Cricetulus griseus: one gene and its partners. The protein of the gene in region 3 interacts with the protein of the main gene of each other region in a pairwise test. Links are inferred from orthologs where the notes say so. Each region holds a gene or a part of one and is shown on either strand. Other genes may lie near its edges.

Evidence for each region.
Region 1: the proteins of Git1 (region 3) and CUNH8orf33 interact in a two-hybrid assay, tested with the Homo sapiens proteins (2 studies listed by BioGRID and IntAct). The link is inferred for Cricetulus griseus from reciprocal best matches to the Homo sapiens genes GIT1 and C8orf33.
Region 2: the proteins of Git1 (region 3) and Ppfia4 interact in a two-hybrid assay, tested with the Homo sapiens proteins (2 studies listed by BioGRID). The link is inferred for Cricetulus griseus from reciprocal best matches to the Homo sapiens genes GIT1 and PPFIA4.

The regions. Positions count from the first base shown.
Region 1 is NC_048595.1:374,228,267-374,234,672, forward strand, and holds CUNH8orf33 (UPF0488 protein C8orf33 homolog), read left to right. Parts: upstream 1-2,307; 5' UTR 2,308-2,582; coding exon 2,583-2,588; intron 2,589-2,671; coding exon 2,672-2,962; intron 2,963-3,118; coding exon 3,119-3,203; intron 3,204-3,339; coding exon 3,340-3,486; coding exon of another isoform or gene 3,487-3,509; exon of another isoform or gene 3,510-3,532; intron 3,533-3,914; coding exon 3,915-4,054; 3' UTR 4,055-4,669; downstream 4,670-6,406.
Region 2 is NC_048598.1:54,891,777-54,898,082, forward strand, and holds part of Ppfia4 (liprin-alpha-4), read left to right. Parts: intron 1-780; coding exon 781-872; intron 873-2,772; coding exon 2,773-2,881; intron 2,882-3,998; coding exon 3,999-4,213; intron 4,214-5,448; coding exon 5,449-5,689; intron 5,690-6,054; coding exon 6,055-6,090; intron 6,091-6,288; coding exon 6,289-6,306. UniProt on the Homo sapiens protein: May regulate the disassembly of focal adhesions. May localize receptor-like tyrosine phosphatases type 2A at specific sites on the plasma membrane, possibly regulating their interaction with the extracellular environment and their association with substrates.
Region 3 is NC_048600.1:90,907,065-90,913,006, reverse strand, and holds the end of Git1 (ARF GTPase-activating protein GIT1), read right to left. Parts: intron 5,750-5,942; coding exon 5,652-5,749; intron 5,286-5,651; coding exon 5,174-5,285; intron 5,059-5,173; coding exon 4,925-5,058; intron 4,831-4,924; coding exon 4,678-4,830; intron 4,557-4,677; coding exon 4,326-4,556; intron 4,241-4,325; coding exon 4,187-4,240; intron 4,055-4,186; coding exon 3,968-4,054; intron 3,873-3,967; coding exon 3,799-3,872; intron 3,686-3,798; coding exon 3,503-3,685; intron 3,388-3,502; coding exon 3,324-3,387; intron 3,169-3,323; coding exon 2,956-3,168; 3' UTR 1,806-2,955; downstream 1-1,805. Other genes in the region: Tp53i13 (tumor protein p53-inducible protein 13), read left to right, coding at 1-54, 370-567, 662-1,184, 1,256-1,368. UniProt on the Homo sapiens protein: GTPase-activating protein for ADP ribosylation factor family members, including ARF1.

The DNA of each region.
Region 1 (6,406 bases), on a different chromosome or scaffold from region 3:
TTGAACACTGGAATCCACGTGTTGTCGAGAACTGACTCCCTAAATATCTTCCTGTGACTTTTACATGTGTGCCATGGTATATATGAGTATACATGCACACATTCACACATACACTCACAAATTTTTGTTTGTTTGTTTGTTTTTTGAGACAGGGTTTCTCTGTGTAGCTTTGGAGCCTATCCTGGCACTCACGATCAAGACCAGCCTGGCCTCGAACTCACAGAGATCAGCCTGCTTCTGCCTCCTGAGTGCTGGGATTAAAGGCGTGTGCCACCAACGCCCGGCAGATACACTCACAAATTAAATAATGTAATGAGGAATGTAATTTTAAAAAGAGTAAAACCGTAGTTTGCGATAGTTTGAAAGAAAATGGCCCCCAAAAGTAGTGGCAATATTAGGAGATGTGGCGTTGTTGGAGGTGTTGTTATTTTGTTTAAGTTTAAAAATATAAAAAGGGTGCAAGATGAGACGTGAGAACCAGAGATACATTAACCATAGAGTTTTATTCCAGTGGGGGAGGGGGAGAGCGGTAGAGAGAGGAAGGCAGGAAAGAGGTGAGAAAGAGAGCAAAGAGAAGAGGGCTTGAGAGTAGGAGAAGAGAGAGTAAGTGGCAGGGGTCTGTCTTTTAAAGGGTCCTTTACATCTGCGGGCAGACTTAGTTCCCATGGAACCCTGGGCTGACCAGGGTACTGCCTGAGTGGCTTCTGCCAGGTAACAGGGCCAGGCCAGCATAATGCCTGAACTTTTCAGGAGGAAGTGTGTCACTGTGAGGACAGTCTCTTTTGCTCAAGCTTCCCTCAGTGTGAGTCAGCCAACTTCCTGTTGCCTGAAAGACATAGCCTCTCAGTTCCAGTATCACAGCTGTCTGCACGCTGCCATGCTCCCTGTCATGATGATAATGGACTGAACCTCTGGAACTGTAAGCGAGCTACCTCAATTAAATGTTTTCTTTATAAGAGTTGCCATGGTCATGGTGTCTCTTCACAGCAATAAAAAACCCTAACTAAGACATAGTTATATATTAAAACATAAACGAAGTGGATCCCTTCTGAGGAATGATACCTGAGAATGACCTCAGTTCTACACACACACAAAGAGCTACTCACCCCAGAAAGGGAATCCATGACAGACCGAAGTTACGACTGCACCAACTTGGTGAACTAATGAGTTTTTGTTGGGGTTACTAACAGGAGTATGAGTGAAGGGTTACTTACAAGGAGCAGGGATGACTCAAAAACTACTGCGCCATTGGAAAATCCTACTGGGGGAAGTGAAGCCCTGGAGCTCTCTGGATAGCCTGTAGGCAGTTTCAAAGACTGAGAACCCTCTTCACATGGGGTTGTCACTCCTTTTTATACAGCTGGCAAGGACCTTTCTGTTTTCACAGACCTTTTGTTTTCCTCCAGAACCTCACAAACTTCCTCATTCCATCCCGTCAGGGATTCTGAGGAAAATACCATACAACAGTAATTATGGGGTGTTCCTCAAGATTTGAAAAGAAATGTACCAATAATTTGGTACTTGTAGAAGATAAGCTCACAGTGCTAAAAGGGACTAAGACAAGGTTTGTTCTGGAGCCATTTTGAGTGACCATGGCCCAGGAACACAGGTTTAGGTTGTCCTAAAATCCATGTTCTAAGGTGGAAACAGGTTTCACAAGGCTTTAGTTTTACAGAACAATGAAAGTCATAAATCAAGGCAAATTTACACTGGTGGATACACCAGAAAGTTACAATGAGATGGGGAAACATTTCTATAGGCCCAAGATGTTACTGAAGCTTTGGGGTTAGTGGAAGTTAGTGGTCTGCTAAGTAAACAGATTCTAAAAGGTCTTTTATCTATTATTCACAGCAAGATGTTAGTTCTGACAGAGATGGGCAAGGAGTAGCTGTTCTAGAAGTAGTCCAAGATAAGGTGATTAGCCACTAGACCTTCAGCATTCCAGTATCTCCATATTACTGTAGTACTGTAAATCAGTCTGCACACAAAGCTTCTTTGTTTTATTGGATTTATTTTTATTATTTTATGTATATGACTGTTTTGCGTGCATGTACGTCAGCGCATCACATTCGGGCCTGGTGCCCTTGGAGGTAGTAAGCCTCCATGTGGGTGCTGGGAATGGAACCCAGGTCCTATGTAACAAGAAGTGCTTTTAACCACTGAGCCAACACTCCAGCCCCTCCCCCTTTAATGTCTATTTTTTAGTACTTATGTTTTGTGTGTATGTGTGTACACCCACGCGCGCGTGCGCCCCGCCCCACCTCTGGGCTTTCTGCCCCGCCCCGCGGGGAGGGAGGGTTGTTCCATCCCTATCTCGCCGCGCATTCGTCTGGTTTCTCAGCGATGCACTCTGCTGGGTTCTCCGAAGCCTCCACGTTTGTTCCTGCGCTCTTTCTGTCCGGATCCTCTCAGAGTTGCAGGCCCAGATCCACGGAGTGCTCCCCGCCCCTCCCGGAGCGCTTGCCCCTGCTACTCCGCCTGCAGGGTCCGCGGCGCCTTCTGCGGAACTCCGGGCCATAGACGCATTTCCGGAGGACTGAGTTCACTGTTTTAGTCAGGACTTCCGGTCACCGCTACGGCGCATGGCGGTGAGCTTTGGAAGAAGGCGTTTGCGTGGCGAGGCCCTGGGTGTGGGGCCCCTGTGAATTTCCTCCTGTTCCACGTTTTTCAGGCGTTAGGGCGTCCTGCTCGGGAGGCACCAGCAGCCTCAAGCCGGAGAACTCAACGCGCTGCGCGCAGACCTCGGCTCCCCCGTCCTGCTTGCGGTGCCGCAGATCCGCCCCTTGTCAGTTTAGTGCAACCTGCTTGTGACTCTGCCACCAGAGCACATCCCACAGGCAACACTGTGTCGATGAAGCAAAAGAAGAAGAAAATCCCGAACAGGGTCTCTGGGACAAATGGAGACGGAAAGATCTCCGAGAAACCTGTCCTAGACGAAGCTCCCCCCAGTGCTGAAGCCCAGGTAAGGGTGGGATTCCCTGTGAGCTTTCTGGGTGCTAGCTAGTCCTCCTGAGAGTGTGGTCTAGTTGTGCGGAATTAAGGCACTGAAGGGATGGGACTGGCTGGGGTCTGCCGAGTCCTGATGCCTATGACAGCCATGACCTTCTTTCCACCCCAGGCGGAGCAACTGGCGAGGGAGCTGGCCTGGTGTGTGGAACAGCTAGAGCTGGGACTCAAGACGCAGAAACCCACCCCGAAGCAGAGTGAGAGCCCCTTCTTTATAGTTAGGGAAATGTAAATGGTGATAGTGCTGTAGCCTGATGGTATTGCCAGGGGATGGAATTGTTGCTTTTGTAGGGAGTATGTATGAAGTTACCAGCTCCTTATTTTTATCTGCAGAAGAGCAGGCTGTTGGGGCAATCCGAACCTTGCGCAGTGAAAAAACCCCCCTGCCCCGGAAGAGACAGCTGATGCGATCCTTGTTTGGGGACTACAGGGCTCAAATGGATGCCGAATGGCAGGAAGCCCTGAGGGCTCTAAGGACTGGTGAGGAACCGGGAAGTGATTGATTCAGTTTATGTACTTCAAAGAGGTAGGGAGAAGCTCAGCTCAGCAAGGTTGGTGCTGGAGGAAATGGGCACAGGGAAAACCCTAAGCAGGAAGAATGTATATACCTTTCTGGGCTCCTGGAATCAGGAGAACCCTGGTCCTCACCTTGTTCTGTTTTTGGGGTGGGAAAACCCAGCTCACCTGTCTAGGCCTTGGTTCACTCCACTGACCACAAAGCCAGGTACCATGGGTTCAAATCCTGGATCTGTTATTTAGATCTTAACAGTTTAGCTAGTTACTGGGTCTCTGAATCTCATCAGGGAATGACAATATCATCATTATAGGAACATTGTGGGGGCAATCATAACTGCATGGATATTGTTAACTGTTACTCAGTTCTGACTCTTCGCTCCACCTTCCTACAGCTACCCATTCAGCCCGAGTACAGCTTGTAGGAGAGACTGCCAGAAAGAAGAGTGGAAGGGTCTGTAGGCCTCGTCCAACAGGAAGAACCAAGGCCACTGTGGACTTTCCTGATGAAGAATTTCGGTTCAATTTCTTTTAGATTCTCCTACATTCTGGACTAGTCATCCTCCTCCAGGGTGGTGTGACCATTTGTCTTGAATATAGGGGTCTTTCTATGAACTCTTTTGGCAGAAGTAGGATTGCTTTGTCTCTAATTGGTTTGTGGACATGAAACTGCTGCCCCGGGTGAGACTGTCCTTGAACTTCTCAAGGAAATGTTCCTCCTGTCAGAAGAGAGGTGCTTTGGGAACTCCTCTGTGCTAAGCCTGAGTGTTGAGTGGATTGCAGGAATTGTGCTCCAGTCTCTGGGAATAACTGTTGGTGGTAAGGAACTGAAGAATCTGTGTACTTTTGAAAGGATCAACCTAATAAATATGTTTTTATTTTTTTAAAAAAATAGGTGATGAATGGAAGCTTGTGATGTCTATGGTGGATGGAGTTAGGTGGGGCAGGGACTGCCTTTACTTGGTACAGCTCTGATGTCAGGGTTTAGGTCTTTGTCCATGTTGTCTCTTTTTCTGAGGAGGTTGTCATCTTCAGAGAGCCAGTGTGGCCTCCATCAGGCCATCATTTGTTCTTGAGCTGCATGCTTTAACTTGAACTGTGTTTTAGCAGACTTGTGTCTTTTTTTAAAAAAAAACCTTTATTTATTTGTGTGAGTGTGTATGTGTGTGTATGAGCATGCTAGGCACATGTGTGTAGGTCAGAGGTTTAACCTCTCAAGGATTAATCTCAGCCTCTAGATTTGGTGGCAGTTGCCTTTACTCACTAAGCCATTTTGCCAGCCCACACACTGCCTCTTTATGGGTACTGAACCCTCTGCTATACTGAGTTGAGATTTTCAGGTGTTCACACCAATGTAATCTGGTGTTGCCCAAAGTCAAATCCCAGACTAGATATAATCTGGAGTCCAGCTGTATTCAACATTTTCTGTATGAATATTCTGTGAGCAGTTCAAACTCAGAATGTTGCAGAATACCTAATTAGGCCCTGGGTCTCCCTTTCCTTTTTAGTCAGTGATATTCACTGCCTTGTCTAGTTGGTTATTAGGCCAGAAACCTATGTCATTCTTGATTTCTCTCTTTTTCCAACACTATGTATTCAATACTTAGTGTTATCGTAGGTTTAGGAGACAGTATTAGTGTGTTAGGGTTTAGAGTTTGGGTTATGGTTGGAGGACTAGATGGGTTAAGGTGTTAAGGTTAGCTGAGGGTTAGGGGCTCTGGTCTGGTTCTGAGGTTAGGGTTATTGTGAATATTTATTTAAAAAAATATGTCCCTGTCTTTCCTCCTACTGGGTTGCCTCGTCCAGCCTTAATAAGAGAGGAGGTGCCTAGTCTATTACAACTTGATATTGTGGCTGGCTGATATACATGGGAGGCCTACCTTTTTCTGAAGAGAAATGGAAGAGAACTGGGGGTAAGGGAGAAGAGGGGAGACTGAGGGGAGGGACTAGAAGGAAAGGAGAAAGGGAAGGGATATGATTGGGCGGGAAAAAATTAATTTATTAAAAAACACTCATTAGTTTTTTGTTTGTTTATTTTTTTAGAGTTAGGGTTTCTCTGTATTGCCTTGGAACCTGTCCTGGAACTCGCACTGTAGACCAGGCCGGCCTCGAACTCACAGAGATCGCTTGCCTCTGCTTCCCGAGTGCTGGGATTAAAGGTGTGCACCACCACCACCACCACCACCACCACCACCACCACCACCCCTTGTTTTCTGAGACAGGGTTTCTCTGTGTAGACCAGGCTGGCCTCAAAAGAGAGCTGTCTGCCTGTCTCCCGAGTGCTGGGATTAAAGGCATGTGCCGCCACCACCACCTACCTGGCTATCATCTGTTCTTTTGTTCAGATACCATGGAGACCCCACTGGATGGACTCTTACTAGTCCACATTTACAAAGAGGGAGGCCAGTACAGAGGGAAATGGCCTCAATGCTCCTAAGTAAAGCTGTAATCAAGCAAGACCTTTGCTTCATTCTCAACTTGAAATTACTGATATAAAAGAATAAAAAGCCAGGCGGTGGTGGCCCATGCCTTTAATCCTAGCACTGGCAGGCAGATCTCTGTGAGTTTGAGGCCAGCCTGGTCTATAGAGCTAGTTCCAGGACAGCCAGAGCTGTTACAGACAGAAACCCTGTCTCCAAAAACAAAACAAAAACTACTCACCAAAGGCAACTTGGAGAGGAAAGAGTTTATTTGTCTTATATGTCCTGATCACTGTCCACCACTGAGAGAAGCCAAGTCAAGAACTGGAGGCTAGAACTCAAACTGGCCATGGTGGCAGTGGGCTGGGCATTCCACCTCAACCATTAATCAAGAAAATGTCCCCACAGACTTGCCTATAGGCAGATCTGGTGGAGGCATTTTTTTCCCATTGAAGTTACTTTTCCCC
Region 2 (6,306 bases), on a different chromosome or scaffold from region 3:
ACGGCACAGGGTGAAAGGCCACCTGGGTCACAACTGAGGAAACAGGAGCGTTCCTGGCCAGTCAGGGTCCCTGGCTCGCAGCTGCTCACCTTCAGAACACGTTGGTCCAGGAGTTGGAGAGCTCTCAGCATGACATAGAAGAGCTGCACTACCACAAGGTACTCAGCTGCTGGCCAGCCCTGCCCGCGTGCATGGGAGGGCCCCAGGCACAGTGCCTGGTGGTCACGCAGCTGCTCTATGCTGGCTTCTCTTAGCTCATAGCACACATTTGCCACCGCCCTCCACTGTTGCCCAACACAGTAGCTACAGACCATACATACACTTTATCCATACAGAGGCTAGAGAAATGGAGGCCATGGATCTAGGCCATAGTGTTGGCTCAGACTCTGGGCCCAGTGAAGGATCTGGTGTCTGTAAGGAAAGGGTCCTACATGCTGGGAATGGCAGCCACTGTCCTTAGCGGTGTGTGGCACAAAAGCCTGGTCTACTCTGCAGCCTGGCTTCATTTGCCTTGCACTTGTGTGGTGTTAAGGGGTCAGCTGGCTGTAGAACTCTTCTCAGGGCAGTGTCCACTTCTGGCCTGGCCCCTCTACCAGTCTTCTGCTCATTTTCCAGTCACACCTCTTTTCTTTGGTGTCATCTGTGGCCCTTGGCTTTGGACTTTGCAGCACATTCTTCTACTGTCCCCAACTCTGTTGTCCTCTGTTCCCCTCTCTGACTTCCACTCTTCCCTCTCTGCCCTTCCCTGGTCCCATCCCACCCTGGGTCTGCCTGGCACAGGGCCGCCTGTCTGAAGAGATTGAGAAGCTGCGCCAAGAGGTGGATCAGCTGAAGGGTCGAGGGGGGCCGTTTGTGGATGGCATCCACTCCAGGTACTAGAGCGGGGGATGCGGTGCATGCTGGGCGATGGTCTTGGCTGGACCTTGTGAAAGGATATCCCCTCACCAAAACACTGCCCAGGACCTCAGGGCCTTCCTTCTATTCAGGATGGGAAACAGGGGCTCAGAGCGCTTGGCTAGTCCTTCAGCTCATGTGGCACTTAGGAAGGGAGCACATGTCCTCTAGGGGGCGCTGAAAGGCAAGGAATCAAAGGTTCTCCTCTGCTCTGGGAGTAGGCTATGCTTCCTGGCTCCTTGCCAGAGGACACACGCACGCCCACCCTTGAAGGGTCCGCTGAGTTACTTGCTCTCCCCTATCCCACAGGGCCTTCTGTAGAGTTCACCACTCATTGTAGTTCTTTTGAGGCACCATTTTTAGGATTGCTGTTTGAGAGCAGAAGGCCACCCACATTCAAGTAGGAGACAGTGGACAGAGAGACATCAGGGAGAATAAATTGGGACAGTAAATTGGGGCAGCAAATTCTCTTTCCTGTTGGAAGTTGAGGCGCTGTGTTACTCCTGTGGCCGTGGCATCCCTTTACCTGAAAACGTTGTAAGGCATGGTGAGTGGGGCTTGCAGCTGTACTTTGTGAAGCAGTTGGCATTGAACTCACTTCTCAGCTCAGCAAGGGAGCATGAGGAGCAAGATGACTGGATGCTACTGCTAAATGTTCTTGGCTCCTGGCTGTCTCTGTAAATCAGAGTCTCTTAGACATGCTGTTCCCTTCAGTCAGCGCTCTTGATGCCTCAGGGAAGTGGGCATTAGCCATTAGGAAGGTGGTTAAGGGAATATACACGCATGTGTGGATGGGCAGAGTGTTTCAGTGAGGGAAAAGGACGTTGGGTTGGAGGTGAGAGGCCTCTGGAGGCCTCTGAGGTGGTAGCCATGTAAGTTTGCCAAGAATTCTGCTCTTGTGTAAGGAGGGGGATGCAGAGAAGGGAGTTGGGATAGTTACAATTTCTCCTTTCCTGTTGATTGTCCAAATGGAACAAGCTCTCAGCGAATGAGCACACCAAGCCCTTTGCTACTGCTTGGTTTCCTTGCTGACTGGGAATTCTTGGCTTTGCCTGTAGAATCACTAGACTTTTCCCAGAACTGAGGTGGGGGAGCTGGCTAGGCACTCCCTCTTTCCAGGTACATGGCATAGATTGTAGGCTCTGTTGCTTCTCTGTACTGGGCTCCATCAAGGCTTCTGAGCTGAGAAGACAGAGTGGAAGTGTCACAGAGGAGGCTTCTAGATAACCCAGACACTGTTCCTGGGACCCTAAACTCTTGTGTCTGTATTTTACAAGTGGGGCAGCCAAAATGGATTCTCTAGCCTGTACCTGTGATGTAGCTTCAAGGTTCTCCAAATCTTCCTGGGGATGCGGATGACACATCTGGGTTGAATTTTAGCCAGGTGTTCAGTTCAGATTATCAGGAAACCTGGAGAGAGTTGCTAGTGCGAAGACCAAGAAGCAAAAACCTCCAGAGTTAAAGGCCCTTAGAGCTCATCTCTTTGGATTCCTCTTCTCCGCCCCTCCCCCCTCCTTCCCCCCAGGCCAAGAGCCCTCCTGTGTGGCTGCTGTCAAAAGCCTGAGGTCCTCCACTTGAATGTCACTCTGACAGGGAGCTCAACTTTTTGAAAGCATCCTAATCTCCTTGTCAGGAGAAGATCCTACTTATGCAAAATGGACCACTTCTCCCTACAGCTTTTCCCCTGGTCAATTTGGCCCCACAGCCCCAGAGCATAAGTAGAGCCTTGTGCCTCCATGGCAGCTCTTCTGATGTTTGGGACAGCTGTGTCCCAGATCGCTTCTCTCCAAACTGGCCATTCCCCAGTCGTTGGGCCCTCTAAGTGTAAGTTGGGGCCATCAGTCTTCAGAGCTTATCTTTTCCCTCCTGCCACTCAAGGTCACACGTGGGCAGCGCATCAGATGTGCGGTTCTCTCTGAGTACAGCCACACACGCACCCCCAGGTCTGCATCAGCGCTATACAGTACTGAGGGAAGATTCTGCCAAGGTAAGGGGTAGAGGGATGTGTGTGGGTCTCCCTGGGGAATTTGGGGTTAGTTTGGCCGTGTGTCTGGCTCCAGTTACACAGACGACTGGCGTGTGGTGCAAAGCCTTGCCCAACCTTCTCCCTTGTCAATGACAGCTGCAGCCTTGGAGTTGGGGCTCTTGTCAGCTGCAACAGCTGTCACCCCCCCTTGCCTCAGCCTCCTGGTGGGCAAGAGGTAGGGGTGGAAGAGGGCCAGTGGTCCCTGAGGCCCCACTACAGCATGTGTGCGTGTGCCTGGGTGTGCACCATTCATTTCTGGTGTCTAAGAGGGGGTTGCAGTGGTAAAATGGAATTAACAAGCTTCCTGGAACAAGATCATAGCTTATAGTGGAGAGGAGGGAGAGATGACAGATTAACTGGCCCTGGGGAATGGCACCTGAGAAGCAGCTGCCAGTTTCTGAGTTGCCCCAGGGAGATGGGTGGGCAGTGAGAAGAAAGCCACTGCCCTCCAGTAGTTAACCCTCATATGTTCTGGGGCTCTAGAAGCTGTGGATGGAGGAGGGGGGGGACACCTAGTCTGATGGGGGAAGATTTATGTTCACCTCTAAGTTTGATGTGTAGGTAGAAGGCTGAGGCAGGAGGACTGTGAGCCATTTGGAGCAACATGGCAAGTTCCCATTGAAAAGGAAGGAAGGAAGGAAGGATGGATGGAAGGAAGGAAGGAAGGGAGAATAAAAGAAAAAGCAAGCAAGCAGGCATGTAGCGGGTTCATGTAGACATGTAGGGAGGCGTGTATAGAGGCATGTAGGGAAGCAGAGAGGCATTAGGGAGGTAGGCAATCTGATCACAGTCTGAAGGCCTCTTCTTTTCTACCTCTCCCGACTTTACTCTGCTGTTCACAAGAACACAGCAACACCCAGGAGCTCCGTGCAAAGGCGACAGCATCTAACATAGCTGGGGGGGGGGGGCACTGAGGCCTTGGGTCAGAGTGAGTGTGTTAGAGCCCTTCTGGCCCATTTTTCAGCAGCCCACATTTTCTCATGGCTTCCAGAGATACTGATGCCATGGGATGAAGGTAGGCAGGTTCCTACTGCCCAGCTATCCAGGGATCTTACTGCTGCTCCTTTTGTTTGCTAAGGACTGGAAGCCATCACCACTGTCGGGGGTGTTGGCCGCCACCACCACCACCGCTGCCTTTGACAGTGACCCTGAGATCTCTGATGTGGATGAGGATGAGCCTGGGGGCTTGGTGGGCACTCAAGTTGATGTCATCTCACCTGGTGGCCACTCTGACGCCCAGACCCTGGCCATGATGCTGCAGGAGCAGCTGGATGCCATCAACCAGGAGATCAGGTGGGGTAAGGGTGAGGCTTGCAAAGTGCCTGGGAGGATGGGCCCTTTGTTTTGGGGCACACAGTGTAAGTATTGGCTCCCATCCCACCTTACAGCTTAGGACCACAGTCCAGGGATGCTTTGTGGCATCAAGCAAGGGTTTGGACTAATAGTGACCCCGGAGGGGCAGGGCTACAGATGACTCTAGGTGACATCTCTTCTCTCCAGGCCAGGAGTGGCTGGGCTCAGGAAGACGGAGCTGTCTTGTGCTCCTGGTAATCAGTTTGACTGTGACAAAGCCAGCTAAGGGTGGGAGCTTCGTCAGTGTTACGGTCAGCTGAGAGGGGTTGAGTGACTTGTTTCAAAGCCACATGTTAAGTAGATGAACCAGGATCCAGTCTCAGGCAGAAACTCCCCAGTGCCATGCCTTTCATCTCTAAGGAGACATCAGATAGAAACAGAGACAGGGAAAGCTGTCAAAACCCTGACCTTATCCTGCCTTTTTAGTGAGCTTATTTATGTCACTGTCATGCAGGGAGGTAAAGTTGACAGGCTGATGAGGTCAGGCTTTCAAATTTGAGAAGTCAGCATCAAGATACCCATGTCAATGCAAGACCCCCTGCGTTCAACTCTGTCGAGTAAAACTGTAGGGACAGCTGCCATTCATTGTCACAACCATCTTTCCCCCCCCTCAAAGAAAGGGCATTTAAACAGCTCCAGAGTGGGAAAGGTGTCCTCTCAGCGTGAGGACACGTCCTTCTCTTTGAAGCGTAGTCACCATCTTTCTACCAGTGTGTGTGAATGTGTGTGCACACCTCTCTCTGAGTGCCCCCAGGCACAACACACCATCTCCCCGTGTTTCTCATTCTCAGTGGAACAGAAGAAACCTCATTAGGGGATGGCATCAGTGAAAGAGAGAGAGAGAGAGAGAGAGAGAGAGACAGAGAGACAGAGAGAGAGAGAGAAGCTCTGTTTGGTCATCCCTGACAAAGATAAAGCCCAATAATGGTGTCTGTAGAGAAACTGAGATACAAGAGAGCAAAGCACCTGCTCAAGGTCACTGCTGTAGCTAGTGCAGGCCAGGGATTCCTACTGAGATGGCTTATAGTTCATTGGCACAGTGCCTCCTTCCCAGAAATGGCGTTTGTTCAGCTGGAAGGTTGTGCCTGTAGGTAGTGCCCACCTTTGGTACAAGGGCGGCAGCACCCAGCACCGCCTCCTGGGCTAATGGCCAGGTCTGGTTTGCTGCCCTGCAGGATGATCCAGGAGGAGAAAGAGTCCACTGAGCTTCGTGCTGAGGAAATTGAGACCCGTGTGACCAGTGGCAGCATGGAGGCCCTCAACCTGACACAGCTGCGCAAGCGCGGCTCTATCCCCACCTCTCTGACTGCCCTGTCCCTGGCCAGTGCATCTCCTCCACTCAGTGGCCGCTCCACACCCAAGCTCACTTCTCGGAGTGCTGCCCAGGATCTGGACCGAATGGGGGTCATGACCCTGGTGAGTCTGTGCACTGGTTGAGAGGCCCTGTGAACCCCAGGCCTGTGCTGGGGAGTTTACACGGGAGGCCTGATCTCTCTCCATCCCTCTGGCATCCTTTTCCAATGACACAACATACTAGGTCACCAGCATGCCTTTCTGGGTAGGAAAGGGTTTGTAACTTCTTCCCTGCTCCCTCCCTTGGATGATCACAGACGGTTAGAGCCATGCCCATTGTCCAGCTGCTCTCTCTTCTTCATAGGGAGCCATGATTTATCTTTCCAGGTTCTCCGTTTGCTGTGGTACATTTCCCAGGCTGGTATGAGTCCCTGACTCCTCTGCTGTCACCCTAAGCAGGCTCGCCCTTTCCTCTTTCTCTTTTTCAGCCCAGCGACCTCAGAAAACATAGGAGGAAGCTGCTGGTGAGTGCTTCCTGGCATCCAGGTACTAGCGGGTTACCGGCTCCCAGGCCCTCCCCTCTGGGCTGCTGCCCCCAGCCCTGGGGTCTGAGTTGACCTTGAGCAGCCACAGGGCCTCTCTGCTGCGTGCGCACTGTCTGGGCTGGGTAGGCAGGCCCCAGCTCTCTCCCTCTACCCCCTGACAACCCACTGTCTGTTCAGTCGCCAGTGTCTCGGGAA
Region 3 (5,942 bases):
ATGTGTGTGGCCAAGCCCACACTCATTCCTGACTCCAGTCTCACTTGGGACCGGGTAAGTGGTTCGTGAAAGGTGTGCCCAAAACAAAAAGAAAGCAAAAATGTAAGGGAAAAAAAAAAAGAAAAAAGCCCGGCTTGGTGGCTCACATCTTTAATCTCAGCACTCTGGAGGCAGAAGCAGGCAGATCTCTGAGTTCGAGGCCTGCTGGTCTATGTAGTTCCAGGACACAGTGTCCTGTCTCAGCATGCCCTCACCCCCCAACCACCCCCCAAAAAAAGTTGTTCTGCAGAAGGCTGCAGCCCCTTGGGCAGAGAAGGAAAACTCAGGGCTGCTTCCTTCATCTTAGACCTAAGTTACCTTCTTTCATAGCCCCTGGTGCTGACAGCATGGGGGACTGCACTGGAGATGGCATGGATAGAGCCAGCTTGGGCTGCTCACTGGTTGAAGAGGCGGCGGCGCCGGCAGCAGAGAAAGAGTGTGTGGATTCTCTCTGACACCCTTTCTGGGCCCACTCCCATGATGCCGGCCCCCAGCAGAGGGAAGCTGTGTGGGAGACGGTGTGTACAGGTGAGGTGAGGGGTGCTGAGCCCAGGTTTGGTGGTGGGAGCACTAGGTCAGAGCAGAGCAGGGCAGAAGGTGACTCTGCTTCTCTTCCCGTTAGGCTCCGACTCTGGCCTTTGCTCTGCGAAGCTGGCGGCCTCCTGGTGTAGAGGTGACATCTAGAGGCTCTCTCAGTGTTGTCAGGAGAAGAGGGCTCCGAGCTGCCCTTGGTCTCCAGTCTACTCCCTCAGGCCTGAGGGTTTCCTTGGCCTCTTCACAGAGCCCGAAGGCCCAGCAGCCCATTTTGGGAACCTCATCTGTGGCCCCTGACTCCTTGATGACTGGGGGACCTGGAGGCAATGATAGGTCCAGGACAGAGGCTCAGATGCCCAGTGGGCAAGACAATCCAGAGGGTTGTGCCTGCCTGGGCCAGGCTTCCCCAGCTCCTCGAGCAGCAGCGCCTCCCCGGGTGGCCCGAGGCCCAACTCCACGCACAGAAGAGGCCGCTTGGGCTGCCATGGCCTTGACCTTCCTGCTGGTCTTGCTCACCCTGGCCACGCTCTGCACGCGATTGCACCGGAACTTCCGCAGGAGTGAGAGCATCTACTGGGGGCCCACAGGAGACAGCCAAGACACGGTGGCAGGTGAGAAGACCCCCCCGCCGCCCAGTCCCCAGCTTCTTGAATTCTTGCCCTTATCTCTTGCCTTCCTGCAGCTGTGCTGAAACGGAGACTGCCCTTGCCCTCGCGCCGGATCAAGCGGTCTCGCAGACGGCCCCTGCTCCCGCCCACACCGGATAGCGGCCCTGAATCGGAGAGCTCGGACTGAGCGGCTCCGCCCCTCTGTGACTGCTGCCACGTGGGCCGTGCGCCGGCGCCCCCTGGCGGCAGACGGAGAGGCCCTGGAGGCTTCTTTTGGTTTGCGTATCCTTTTAGCCTCCCCGATGCAAATTCCTGTTTCTAATTAAATTATTTTAGTAGAATTCGGAGTAGGGTGAGTGTATCTGCCCTCGGGAGAGTTACAGAGTCAAGCTGGCTCCCGGGAAGCCAGCATTCCCTGGCTATTAGAATCACATCAGGTGCTGGTACTTCCCACTAAACACACATTCATGCCTTTCTTTATCCCTAATCAATGTAGCTCAGGACAGCCTGAAACTTGTTATCCTGCCTCAGCCTCCAAGGATTGCCGATGGGGTAATGTGACAATGGTAAGTGACACATAACTGTGCTAGGCTCAGCCCCCACCTCTAGACATCAGCAGCGGCACATGGTCACTTATTTATTTTTGATACAAATGTACATGACACACGTCTTGACAGCTACCCACCACCACAGGTAGGGCTGGGCCACCTAAGGGAAGGTGGTTGGGGAGAATAGCTGGTGGGTGCTGTCAATGCCTTGCCACCTTCCCAGCTGCAGCCAGATCCCCAGGCCTCCAGGGGGTGGGTCACTGTAGGTGCAGGTAGTGATGTGGGTGCTGGCCTTGCAGAGGTTAGGGAGAGGGGCTCAGTTCTACCGCCACCAGCTGAGTTGGGGGCCCTGGGGAGCCAGCCCCAGGCTCAGGAGCTCTGCACTCTGCCTGGCCAGCACACTTCCCATAGGGGATGGGGGAAGAGATGGAGGGAAGTGGTTTTTCTTGTGTTTGTAGTGAGGGGCACAAGTAGGAGCAGCAACTGGACCACAGCTGGTAACCCTGACAGTCCCCCTGTCCAGGTAGGGGAGAGGGACACTGACCCCCAATGCTGATTCCACGACTCTGGTCCTTGCCCCTCAGAGCTCCAGGTGGGCCAGGTCTCTGGAACGGCACTGCCGCTCACATTGCAGTTGCAGGCACGCAGGGACACTTAGTTACCACAAAGTTGGGGAGAAGAAAGACTTTCCAGTGTTTGCTGCTGGGGACCCTGGCACACACGTTGGGGCCTGTGCTCTAGGCAGGGGCCATTTGGCATGAAAGAGCAGCAAGAGGGGGCTGGTGGCTACAGGGCAGAGACATCCAGAGATAATGTACAAAGGAGGGGGATGCCCCTGCTCAGCCCCCCTAGGGCTAAACTGGCTCATGGGGATAGGGTGCAGTAGGCGGAGCTGCCCCATTTGGAGTGTCCCTGTCCCACTCTTTGCTGAGGGTGCCCTGGAAGGTGAGGGGCTGGGAGGGTTCCTTGAGACTCCTGTACATCAAAAGGGTAGGGATGCTATGTACAGGGTGATGGGCATGGAATGTGGGGGGGCAGAAGCTCCTGTCACCTCACATTCCCATTCTTGAGAGGGTGGGCACCAGGGCACCTGGATACCAGAGGAGAATGGCGGCACTAAGGGCACTTGTGCCAGTGGCTCTGTTGGGGGGTGGGTTAGTGTCTGGAGTGGCCCAGCTCCCATGGCCAGTGAGGTCCCAGGGTGTGGGTAAGGGCAGGGAAAGTGGTCACTGCTTCTTCTCTCGGGTGGTGATGGTGACCAGCTGCTTGGCTGCCTTGGCGATGTCATAGGCGCATTGGATCACCTGCTGAGTCAGCAGCTGGAAGTCCACAGGGGCGCCAGGCTCTGGAGGCACTGTCTTCCGGCATTCACTCTGCAGCCGGTAGGCGCTGGCATTAAGCAGCCGCAATGAATTGCGCACAGGCTCCAGGGCCGGCCTCTGGAGGGAGGGGTGAGGAAAGGCTGAGAGCCTTGGACTTTAAGCCAGGTGTCTGATTGTGGCTCAGGGTGCTCACCTCCACCCAGGCAGCAGCCAGGTCACTTGCACCTGCCCCACCCCAAGGTTCCCACTCTGCTTCTCTGTGGCGCCTGTACCTTTGGGAAGAGAGAGGCCATCTCAGTCACAGCCAAATGGATCTTTTCCGAACAGGGCACAAAGCTGTCAGAGGAGGGGAGGAGTTGGATGAGGGGTTTCTCAGAATCTTAGTCAGGATCCTAGCATGAACCCTCCATCCAAGTACCAAGAAGTTAACAGGAGCCTGTGCCCATCCTACCTGTCATGTTTGAACTCCTGGGCTGCCCGCAATAGTTCCTGAATGTTCTTGGTGACCTGCTCTGTCTTCAGAATGACATCCTCTGTGCTGGGGAGCCCAGGGTCTAGGTCTCCTTCCAGGCTCTCCAGCTCAGGGTGGAGCTCATCCTCCTTGCCCAGCTCTAGGAATCGCTTCCCTTCAAGTCTAGGTCCAGGTGGGAAGAGAAAAGGAGCCATTGCAGCCACCTGCATGGCGGGCTCCGCACCACCTCCCTCCAGGTGCTGGCGGGACTGGGTAGAGCCCCACAGGTGTCTCACCCAAGTGGAGGGTCCCCACTCTGTGTGTTCTCATAGTCACTGTCTGCACCACTGCCATGGCGTGAGAGCTTGCTCTGGAGGGTATAGGGAAAGACGGTGGGTGAGTAAACTCCCAAACCCCTGTGTAGCCCACATGCTGTCTGTCCCTGGGCACTGGGATGACAATTACCGTATGGCGACTTCCTTCTGGAGAGCACGACAGCAGTGGAGAGGAGGGAGTGAAGGGCACAGAAGAGGCAGACACCCCCTTCCGGATCTGAAAGCCAAAGCAGGGCTAGAGTCATTCTCCACCTGTAGTCCAGTGTCTGTCCTGGTCCAACTTGACAGCTACCAGGCGCTAGTGACTCACTGGTGCAGGGTTCACCCTCCTCCCCCAAGTCCTGCTTACCCGATAAAGGCCAGTAGGGACATGTACCGAATAAATGGCATCATCTTCCAGCTCCTGTGGGGGGTAGCACAGAGTATTATGACAAGCTGTGTTAGTGTGGCCCTTATTTTCCCACCCAAGACCCACAGGCCACTCTCACAGTGCTGTGGAAAGGCTGGAGCCGTGTGGTGAGCTCGTCCCCAGGTGCACCTCCAAAGGGCTTCAGGGCAGAGCCCGGCTCATACATGGAGAAGGCCTGGCGGTCCCTGCGATGGGTGCTTCCAGCGGGCCCCATGGGTACGTGTTCTGCCCGTTCATTGGGAAGTGGGGGTGTAGGTGTTGGCCCTGACGGCTGCCGAAGCTGCAGGTTCTCTGCCTGCAGTTTGTGGATCTGAGTGTACACAGTGGTATCCAACTCTGGGTCAGGGTAGGTACCACCTTTGGGAAGAGATGACCTCTCCTCCCAGAGCCTCTGATGCTTTCCTCCTGCTCCCGCAAGCAACAGTGCTCACCTCCCTCTGCAGCCTCCGGAGCTCATCACTCAGGCTGCTGTTGACCTGCATGAGCTGCTCCACTCTGGCCTCGGAGGTGGCCAGAGCTTTCTTCAGCTCCAGGTACTCCTGCAGTGTCACAGCCCCATCCGACAGGTCTGAGGAGTCCATGCTCTGCAGAGACAGAAGCCAGTCAGTCTCGGGCAGAGGCTGACTCTGGGCTATGTGTAACAGGGAGCTGGGTCTACAGCAGGGACAGTGTTCAGACCCTAGCACGGTTGTTCCGAGTGGCGCCTGTGCTGGGCAAGGGCTCCTGGTCTGTGTCTTCGTCAGAAGCCACACTATCGTAGTCGTGTTGGTCGTCCAGGTCACTTTGGCTCTGTGCAGACAGCTCGAGGTTGTCTGAAGACACAAGATCTGTCACTCAGGGCTTGCTCAGCCATTGTTTATCCAGATCCCAAGCAAAGGTGGCTCCAAGGCCTGCAGCAGTGCTGCGGCCTGCTCATGTGGGGCTCACCTGTGGGGCTGCTCAGGCTCTTGCCCTGCTGCCTCCGTTTGGCCTCACTGAGAATGTCGATGATCAAGGTGGCGAACTCGCGGGCATTAAACCGAGCCAACTTCTGTCGTCCCTGTAAGGCAGAAGGGGCAAGGCCAGCATGAGGGGCCATTTCTGGTTGGCCCATGGGGGCTGGACCACAGCAGCAAAGTGGGACCCTGACATCCTTTCTATTCATAGCTTTTAAAAAAACCAAAACCCCAAACCCAGCCATCATCTGGCTGGTGAGCAGTGTGGAGCCTCAGGTCAGCAAAGGCCTAAGGCACACAGGGAGCCCCCAGGAGGAGACTGGAATGCCCACCAGTGCTAAAGAATAGCTTCATCCCATTCCCCGAACCCCAAAGCCTGTCAGACCCTAAGGGGAGGCCTCAGATTAAGGAAGGGCAGGGATCCCAGAAAGAAAGGAAACCACCCAGGCCTCCTGCCTATACCCCCTCACCTGGTTCCGAGTAGCTGAGTATTCTGGGTTGACTGGCAGGAAGGGCACAGCGCTGCGCTCCGTCACCAGGGTGCTGTGGTTTTGGGTGGCCAGCCACACTGTGGGGGAGGGGCAGGGAGCAGATCACCCACTGTGACTAGGCCTTCCATGCAGAGGTAGGAGAAGCACAGAGCAGAGAGCCCCCGGCCCCAAAGGCCCACCCTATTCCCACTGGGCCAGTGTTTCAGGAAGCAGGGGTCTCCACGAATATAAAAGCTGGGCAAGGCCCAGTGAGGCCCGCCCACTGACGAA